2 linked regions of the Macaca fascicularis genome follow. The protein of the gene in region 2 interacts with the protein of the main gene of each other region in a pairwise test. Links are inferred from orthologs where the notes say so. Each region holds a gene or a part of one and is shown on either strand. Other genes may lie near its edges.

Region 1 (4,559 bases), on a different chromosome or scaffold from region 2:
TTGGGTTCTGGGGATTGGGCCCTAAGAGGGCTAGTTCTGTGGCTGAAAATAAAACGTGTCCCTCACCCTATTGGTGTTGTGGCATGAAAGGTTGGAGTGGGAAAGAGCAGGGTTATGGGAGGAGTAAGCCCTGGGGGCGGGCGGGGGGCTGGGCATCGTGGGAGTCTGATCCTTCTGACATAAACACAAGGCATGCAGGAACTGAAAAAGGCACAGACTATATTGTTTAACCTTCCATCTGCGGAACCCACATCCCTGCACCCCAGCTGTAGTCTGCTCTAGAGGCTGGCCCTGGTGTGGGGCTGCTGGTCCCGATCTTCAAGACAGAGCCTAGCAGTGCCTGGGTGGAGGCTTGTGGGAGCTGAGGCCACACTCAGTCTGTCCTCTTGAGCACGTGGATGAAGTAGCAGGGAACATAGGCTTGGCCTGGCTTGTAAGGCTTGAAGTCGCCCAGGACGCTGTGTTGGCACTTGCCCCCGAAGGCTGCTTGGAGCAACTCCGTGAAGGATGCCAGACAGTGTGGGTAGTAGGAGAGCCGGAACTTACTGTAACAGAGCCCCCAGCAACCATGAGGACTGGTGACCTCAGCTTCCCCAACTACTGCCTCACCCCCACTGAGCCAAGTGGTACCTCAAGCCAGGAGAGCCATCCTGGCCAGCCCCCGGCACCTGCACTGTATAGTCCAGGGTCACCATGTGAGCCTTGTTGTTCACTATCAGCACTGATGTTGTGATGTCCTTGGTCAAGTCACTCTGTAGGTGGTGGGGCAGGCTGCGTTAGCCTCTGTAACCTACCTTGGGGCCACTGGACCCTCCCTCCACCCCACCCCCACCCCCAATCCCAGAGGGCCCCACCTTATAGTAGATATTCTTCCCTGGGGGTGCACAGCCTGTGCTGAGGATGTGGTCGTAGTTGCGGTGATCAATGACCAGCAGGCCCCCTGCTCGCACCATGCTTGCAATGTTTTTCAGCGCCAGCCGGTGCTCACTCTGGTCCCCTGAGCGCCAGGCAGGGGCAGAAAGGCTCCATCTGCTCAGGGCCCCCAGCACCAGTCTCCCTCCCATCTCTCCCCTCCCCAGGGGTACCAGAGCCAAATCAGAGAGAGGCAGAGAGTCTGCTTTGCAGAGCAGGTGCCCAGAGGTCTGTGGAAGGGGGTACAGCTCAAGGCGGGGGCCATGCCCAAGGCCACACCCTCTCTCACCTTTGCAGTCTGGCAAGTGAGCGAAACTGTTTCCAAGGCAGATGACAGCATCAAAGCCACCCTCTGCTGACTGGGGCACATCTTTGTCCAGAGTCATCCAGTTGGCTTCTTCAATGACTGGGGGCCAGGAAGGGAAAGAGGAATCAGGGAGGCACCATGGTACCAGTAGCAGCCACCTCCACCAAGTGCAGTCCTGCCTGGGATTCTTCTTAAGACACAAAAACTCCCCGTTCGGTTAGGGGGAGGAACCCTGGTTCAGAAGGAGGGCTCTGTGCTTATGGGCTTTTCTTTGAGGGGAGGGACAAGATGCCATAAACACAGTTAAAACCAGCTCTTCACACCCAGTGTCTCATTCTGGAGCTTAAGCCTTGCTTTTCAGAGAAATTACAGTAATTTTGCTGTCTCCCCGAGGAAATTTTGCTGTCTCCCCGAGGAAAACACAACACCCCACCCCCACCCCCACTTAAAGGAGCCCCAGGCAGAATGAACAGTGTTCCTGGTGACTGGGCTGGGGGGGCCTGGCTAGACCTGCATACCCCACTTGTCGAAGGCGGGCTCGTGCCGCCGGTTCCAGCGCTCCTTAAGCGCATACTTCAGCATCTTGTCACTGGCATCCACACTTGTCACGCTGAAGCCCTCTTCCACCAGCATAATGGAGTCCACCCTGGGCAGGGCCAGTGGAGAGAGACAGAGAGGGGCAGTCAGGGGAGCCTGGGAGGGCCAGGAGACCCTGTGCCGGACACTTTTGTCTCCACTTCTCAGAGTCCATTCCTCTGCCTCCTCTCCCCAGGCCCTCTCCACTGACCTCACAAATCTATTTCCTATCACCACGAGGCAACTTTTTTTTTTTTTTTTTAAGGCGCCTCTTCAGAGCTAGGCACTCTACAAATATGCAGTAATTCTCATGGCAATCCTGAGAGGTAAATAGTGTTATTCCCATTTGAGAGACAGACAAGCTGAGGCTCCTCTAAGTTAAAATAGGTGTGCACAAGAGGCAGCAGAACATGGTGGTTTAGAGCACAGGACAGACCTTAACCAACCCGGGCCTGTTAGCTCCTCTTCACTGGATGTTGTATGAGGGACTTTTACTTTGCTGAGCCCTTACTTCCCCAGTAGTAAATGAGAGAGTATCACTGCTTAACCTCATGGGGCTTTGTGAGGGTTTGAAAAACTGATGTATCAAAAGCTCCTGGCACTGGCTTGACAGATGCAAATGTTGAGCAATGTTAACTGTTAACACTGCCCAAGGCCGTCACAGGAGGAATATTTGGAGTCTGTCCGTGGCCCTGGCTCCACAGCCTTAAGGACGCTCACTTTTCTGCCCACACCCTCACTCACACTCAGTCTCCCTTCTCAGTGGCCTCTCCCTGAGCACCCCTGCCCCAACCCTTGGCCTCAGGGGGCACTCGCAGTGCCTGTTCTGCCGGGCAGGTACCTGCTCCTGGCCCTGGTGTCCCACCCATTCCAGACTGGCAAAGGCCGCCCCGACGTGCCGGTCCTGTGGTTCTGCGGCCGCGAGGTACAGGCTGAGCCGGACACCGATCTCATGCAACGCCCCCGGCCCCCTCCTGGGCTTACCCGGTGCCACAAGCCACGTCGAGCACCCGCTGGCAGCCGTGCTGTCGCAGCAGCCCGAGCAGCCATGCCTTGTACTCGGCGGTGCGGCTGCGGGTGTTCCCAATGTACAGCTGCCACACGCGCGCCGCCTCCCCGTCCGCGTACTGGTCCGGGAGCCCTTCGGCTGCCACCCCCAGGGAGCGGGTCCGGTACACGCTGTCCACCATCCTGCGCCGCGCCTGACTTCGCAGTCACTCGCTCCGCACTTATAGCACAGGCACTTCAGGCAGCCGACCGCCCCACCCGGCCAATGGCAGGTAAGCGCGCGGACACGCCCCTGCTGGGCTTTGCGCCGGACGCCTGAGGCTGTACAGCTGCGGGGAGGGCGCTGCCTTGCAATCCTGGGCTAGGTCCTTTTAGCCAGCCTGCGGACCCAGCCCTCTGTGCAATCCCACGGCAGGAGAGGACCCTCGGAATCCTCTGCCCACTTAACCTGGGTCTCCAGGAGAAGGCGAGAGGGGCCAGGAGAGGAGGGAGCAATGAGATTGCCACTTCATCCCCCCCTCCCAAGTTGGAAAGAGAGGAAGTAAAACCTCAGATCCACAGAGCTGAGCGCCAGGCGGGCAGGACTGGACCGTTCCCAGCGAAGGAAGGCATCAGCAGATCTAAACAAAGAATGTGCAGCCAAAGTGTGTGGGGCTAGCCAGCCGATGCAGGGAAGACAGGGGGAGTCTCTGGAGGTAAAGCTGGTCTGTCCACCCAAGCCCGGGGCGGAGCCGGGGCTGGAAGAATGCTCCCCGCCCACCTGGAGGCCAATGTGCCTCTGTTTTGTAGGTGACCATCAGGCTTTTCCCTGAGCTTCCTAAGGTGTAAGTTGGGCCTTGCTTCCAATTTCTGGATCACTGAGAACCCTTCTAAAGACCCTCTGCTGGCCGGGCGCGGTGGCTCACCCCTGTAATCCCAGCGCTTTGGGAGGCCAAGGTGGGTGGATCACCTGAGGTCAGCAGTTCGAGACCGTCCTGGCTAACACGATGAAACCCCGTCTCTGCTAAAAATACAAAAAAATTAGCCGGGCCATGGTGGCACGCGCCTGTAGTCCCAGCTACTCAGGAGGCTGAGCCAGGAGAATCGCTTGAACCCGGGAAGGCAGAGGTTGCAGTGAGCCGAGGGCACCACTGCACTCCAGCCTGGTGACAGAGCAAGACTCCCTCTCAAAAAAAAAAAAAAAAAAAAAAAAAAAGGCCGGATGCGGTGGCTCAAGCCTGTAATCCCAGCACTTTGGGAGGCCGAGACGGGCGGATCACAAGGTCAGGAGATCGAGACCATCCTGGCGAACACAGTGAAACCCCGTCTCTACTAAAAAAATACAAAAAACTAGCCGGACGAGGTGGCGGGCGCCTGTAGTCCCAGCTACTTGGGAGGCTGAGGCAGGAGAATGGCGTAAACCCGGGAGGCGGAGCTTGCAGTGAGCTGAGATCCAGGCACAGCACTCCAGCCTGGGCGACAGAGCAAGACTCCGTCTCAACAACAACAACAACAAAAAACCCTCTGCTTTCACATGAGGCAGGAAAATAGCGTCTGGAGGCAGGGAACATAAGGCCAATTCACACTTCAGTTATAATGGGAAATATCCTCTCCATAGGTGTACACCCACCATTAATAACTTTATAATTGTAACTTTACTTCATCCTCTTCATTTACATAGGGCATACCCCAAGAGGAGGATTTTTTTTTTTTTTTGTGAGACGGAGTCTTGCTCTGTAGCCCGGGCTGGAGTGCAGTGGCCCGATCTCAGCTCACT
Region 2 (4,409 bases):
CTTTCCCCCTTGAACCTGGGAATTCCTAGAAGGCAGTGACAGTTTCTGATAAATTTTCATTGTCACTTTCATATGGGGGTGCAATTCCAGATGGAGGGATGGATGCAATGATTCCTGATGTTCAGTTTTAGATATCTTCAGATTCCTCCTCTAAGTCATAGATAAAGTAGAATCTCATGGCTTACGGAAAAAGACAAGGTACAGCCCATTACCGATTTTGCCCTTCTTTTCCAAATTACTTAGCAAACTGTCTGGAAAGGGACAGAAAGCCCTCATGGGGCTGCAGGAGAGTCTGAGGGGGAGGTCAGGGCCACTATCAGGTGGATTTAGCTGGGCCTTGGCTCCAGGCTTCAGGCAGTGCCTCTTCCCCTGCCCAGTGAAGTCAGTAAGTACAAGGGAAGCCTTAAAATGTTAAGTATTGATAGCTCCAGTTTACAGATGGGAAACTAAGGTCCGGAAAAGTAAAGGCAATTGCCCAATGTCCCAACGGTCCAGCAGTGAGTTCAAGGCAGGGCAGGGGGAGTCATGGAAAATATCTTGGCCTCAGAGACAGGGTCTCCAACAGGTGCCTGGAAGCCCATGGTGTCCACATCTTCCTGACAATCATGTCAGCAGGACAGCAATGACACTTATCCCCCAAGTCACAGAGAGGTACAGAGAGACCCAAGAGAGGCTGAGTTACCCCAATCACAAGGCAGCCTAGGAAGGACAGGAGGAGTGGAGAATGGCTCCAACTCCCTGCTATACCCTGCAGGAAGAAAAGCCTGACCTCATGGGTCAAGATGGATGTGGCTGGGGAGGGAGTCACATACCTTCCTACTGAGGACAGAGGCCTAGGTCACAGTGCTGGCCAGCCAGCTGCAATGGGGACTAGCCATCAAGATGCATGCAGACACAGCATGATCTTCTGCTGTCTCCCCCAAAGCCTGGGCCTCCAGCACAGAGCAGGGCACCCCTCCCTGGCCCATGTGGGGCCTGGTAGTGCCCTAGGGCCATCCACAGAGACATGACCAAGTGGACTCCAGCCTCTGCCCTGCCTCTGGCCTCTTTTGACCTTAGGCAAATCACATGACCTCTCCAGCTCTCTGGTTCCTCTGCTAGAAAACAGGAAGAGGAAAATTAACCCCCTGGAAGAGCTGTCAGGAGGATGGCTGGAAAGTAATTTCTAAACATTAAGAGCCTAAGTTGCCTCTGAGCCTCAGTTTCCTCCTCTAGAAAATAGAAATAATCTCTGGAAGCCCTTTCTCACACTGTTGAGAGAGAGTCTCAGATGGCAGTACGTGAGAAATGGCTTTGTCAGTGGCCCTGAAAGGTGGTGCCCACTGGGGTGTGTCTCTCTAGTCTGTTAGCTCCTTCAGAGGAGTGGGCCTTGCGCATCTTTGATTACCCACACTATGCCTAGTATACAGCAAGAGCTTAATAATAAATGGAACCGAGGAGAGGAGAGGGGAGGAAAGGGAGGAGGCAGAAGTCAGGCACAAGAATAGGAGAGGAGAAAGACAGAAAACAATGAGAAAGAGGGGGAGCCCAGGAAGAGGCTGCTGTGCCCACTTGGGTGGGGAGGGCAACGGGGAAAATAGGGTGGCAATGCTGAGCCCTTGACCAGGGCTGGTCCTGTCTGAAGGGCTGGTCCTGTCTGAAGGGCTGCCCCCAGGGGCTGTCCTGCTCCAGCCCCCTCCTCCTTCTGTCCCACTTTCCCCTTTCAGAGGCATAGACCGTTTCTTTCTGAGTATTTCAGGCCAGGTTCTAGAACGGGAGGGGTTCTCCCAGCCCTAGGTTCAAAACAGCCCCTGGCCAGCCACTCCTCAGGAGGTCAGAGGGAAAGGGAACAGAGTAGATGGATGCGATCTATTCGGATGGGATGGGATCTGTTTTCCCCAGGCTGGGGGCAGTGGGGAGCGTTCTACCCCGTGTGATGTGTGTTTCCACTTCTGGCCATGTGGGGCCTGGAACGTGTGTGTCAGCGGGCCTCCGGCTAGCAGCTCGTGCCTGCGGGGTGCCAGTCTTTGCAAGCATTAGTCTGATTGTGTCTGTGGGGGTCAGTGTTGGTGTGGCCTTGCGCTCCACTGTGTTGGTGAGACATGCCAGCACAAGTGTGTGTGCTAGTGAGGGTGATGTGTGTACCAGCAAGAGTGTTTGCTACAGCGAGTGCAGGTGACAGTTTGCGTATCAGTGTATGCCCACACGTGTGTGCTAGCACGAGGGTGTGTTAGAATTGGTGTGTGTTGGAGTGTGAGCCGTTCATGCCAACAAGGCTGTAAGCAAGAATGTGTTGACCGAGGCGTGTATGACGGCGTGCCACTGTGTGTGATGAGCGTGTGCCAGTGGCTGCCAGTGTGTGCGCCAGCATGCCTGTGCCACGGGTTAGTGTGCCCGTGCGTGTATTGTGTGTCAACCTGCCCCCGCGCGTTTCTGCGGCTGCCGGCCAATGCTGGGTATCAGCAAGCTGTGAGTGTGTCCGGGCCAGGAGCCGCGGCCCACATGGGGCGGCCCGGCCCTCGCCCTTTGGGTCCCCCTCGCCCACGGCCCTGCCGGGGAGACCACGCAGGAGACCTCGGGTGGAGGAGGGCTGGTACTAGATCCCGGGATGGCCGCGAACACAGAACCAGGACGCAATCGGAGCCCCCGCCCGTGCCCTCGCCGAGGTCGCCCCCACACGCCCCACGCCGGGCGACCGCCCTGCACTCACCGGGTCCCTTTGTCGCCCATGGTCCGCGACGGCCGCAGGGAGGTCCGCGGCGTCAGCACCCAGGCTGGAAAATCCCCGGCCAGCAGGAGGAGCGCGGGCCAGCCCGCTCCCGGCTCCCTGCTCCGCCTTCTCCGCTCTCCCGGCCGCCGCCGCCACCGCCCCCGCCCCCGCCCCCGCCCCCGCCCCCGGTCCCCGCCCGCCTCCCGCCGCGCGGAGCAGCGCAGCGCCCGGGCCGCGGTCAGGGGCGTGGAACCGCGCGGGGTGTGTGTGTGTGTGCGCGCGCTCGTGCGTCTGCGTGTGCGCGCGCCGCCCAGCGAGCCGGGGCAGCGCTGCAGGACGCGTCAAGGCCCCAAGGTCGGCGTTTGTGGTGGGGGAGGGGTCCACCCGCGTGCGAGTCCGTATGAGTGAGTGTGTGTGTGTTTGTATGGTGGTGGTGGTGTGGTGTACGTGAGGGCGCACGGCTGTGTGCTGGCCCTATTGGGAGTGTATTGGTGTGGATGGAGGAGTGTGCACGTCTTTGTGCAGTTGTGCGTGTGTGCGCACGGCCGTGGGTGCGAGCGCGCTCTCCCGCGCATGCCGGGGCAGCCTTTGTGTGTGCGTGTGGTTGGAAGCCGAGGGTCTGGCGACCCCGAGGCCGCGCTCTCTGCGGCCGCTCGCCTAGCTGGAGACCCCGGGATGCCTGGCAAGGCCTTCGCCCTGTGCTCCACCCTTCCCCATTCCACCCCACCCCACCCCCTTCTACTGGAGAGATAACACCCAGTCACCCAACAGAGACAGGAAGAAGGGGTGGAGGGGGCAGTAGACGGCCTTGACACTGGGGAACTGAGCGGAGACCCGCGACCAGCAAGGGCTGCAGGAAGCCGCCCAGGAAAGGGAAGCTGCGAGAAGTGAGAAGAGGCGATAAAGGAAGAGGGCAGAGCTGGCCCGCTGATGTGACCGGGTAGCACCGTGGAAAGTGCCCATGCCTAGCTCCATGGCCTGCTGCGGGTGACCCTGTACACCAAGCTTCTGAGAACGCATGTCCGGACCTGTAAAGTGAGGATACACTAATATCAGCCTGCAGAATTAATAGGTTGAAAGAACTTGCTTGTTTGCTGGCCTCCCCAAGTGCCTGCATACAGTAGGTGCCCAGTAGATGTTAGCCCACTTCTCTGCAGGCTTCTTGATGTCCTGTGAAATCTTGGCTGGGACGCTGCTTTGTCTGAGGTGCCTTCCTGCTTTGCAGGTAGTGGGAAATTGTAAGGTCTTTCCCACACCCTCACTGCTGAGATTTGGCTAACTATCCCTGAAAGGTCTAAGTATTAAGGGAGGAAGCTATCATTTACTCTGATGCTGTTGTGAGTGTGTAAACATCTCCTGTAATCATGCTCAGAAGCAGTTACCTATACTGTTTATATGCAGTATCATTACTATAATTATGTCCAGATTTGGCAGAGGGGCAGGGGAAGGCTGATGGGTAGGCAGGGTGGCCCACCTCTGGGCAATGTTAGGAGCTAGAGAATATGGAGGAAGGCCCAGAACCCTCCTCCCAGTCTTGGCCTCTGGGCTTCACCCTCCACAGGGGAAGAAGAGGAAGCCACCTGTTGTTTCTGCAGGGCTCAGAGATCTGGAAAGGAGCAGACTAGAATCTTTTTGATGACAGGAGATCCCTAACCAGGATGGTGAGGCCAGGTCCTGCCACTCTCCACATCAGTTTCCCCACCTATAAAACAGGTTTGAC

The links.
Region 1: the proteins of ARRB1 (region 2) and GNMT interact in binary tests that used the Homo sapiens proteins (3 or more experiments, as listed by UniProt). The link is inferred for Macaca fascicularis from reciprocal best matches to the Homo sapiens genes ARRB1 and GNMT.

The regions. Positions count from the first base shown.
Region 1 is NC_088378.1:128,572,805-128,577,363, forward strand, and holds GNMT (glycine N-methyltransferase), read right to left. Parts: upstream 3,000-4,559; 5' UTR 2,986-2,999; coding exon 2,780-2,985; intron 1,866-2,779; coding exon 1,738-1,865; intron 1,319-1,737; coding exon 1,202-1,318; intron 998-1,201; coding exon 855-997; intron 753-854; coding exon 631-752; intron 548-630; exon of another isoform or gene 546-547; coding exon 374-545; 3' UTR 203-373; downstream 1-202. UniProt on the Homo sapiens protein: Catalyzes the methylation of glycine by using S-adenosylmethionine (AdoMet) to form N-methylglycine (sarcosine) with the concomitant production of S-adenosylhomocysteine (AdoHcy), a reaction regulated by the binding of 5-methyltetrahydrofolate.
Region 2 is NC_088388.1:74,216,945-74,221,353, forward strand, and holds the start of ARRB1 (beta-arrestin-1), read right to left. Parts: upstream 2,823-4,409; 5' UTR 2,710-2,822; coding exon 2,690-2,709; intron 1-2,689. UniProt on the Homo sapiens protein: Functions in regulating agonist-mediated G-protein coupled receptor (GPCR) signaling by mediating both receptor desensitization and resensitization processes.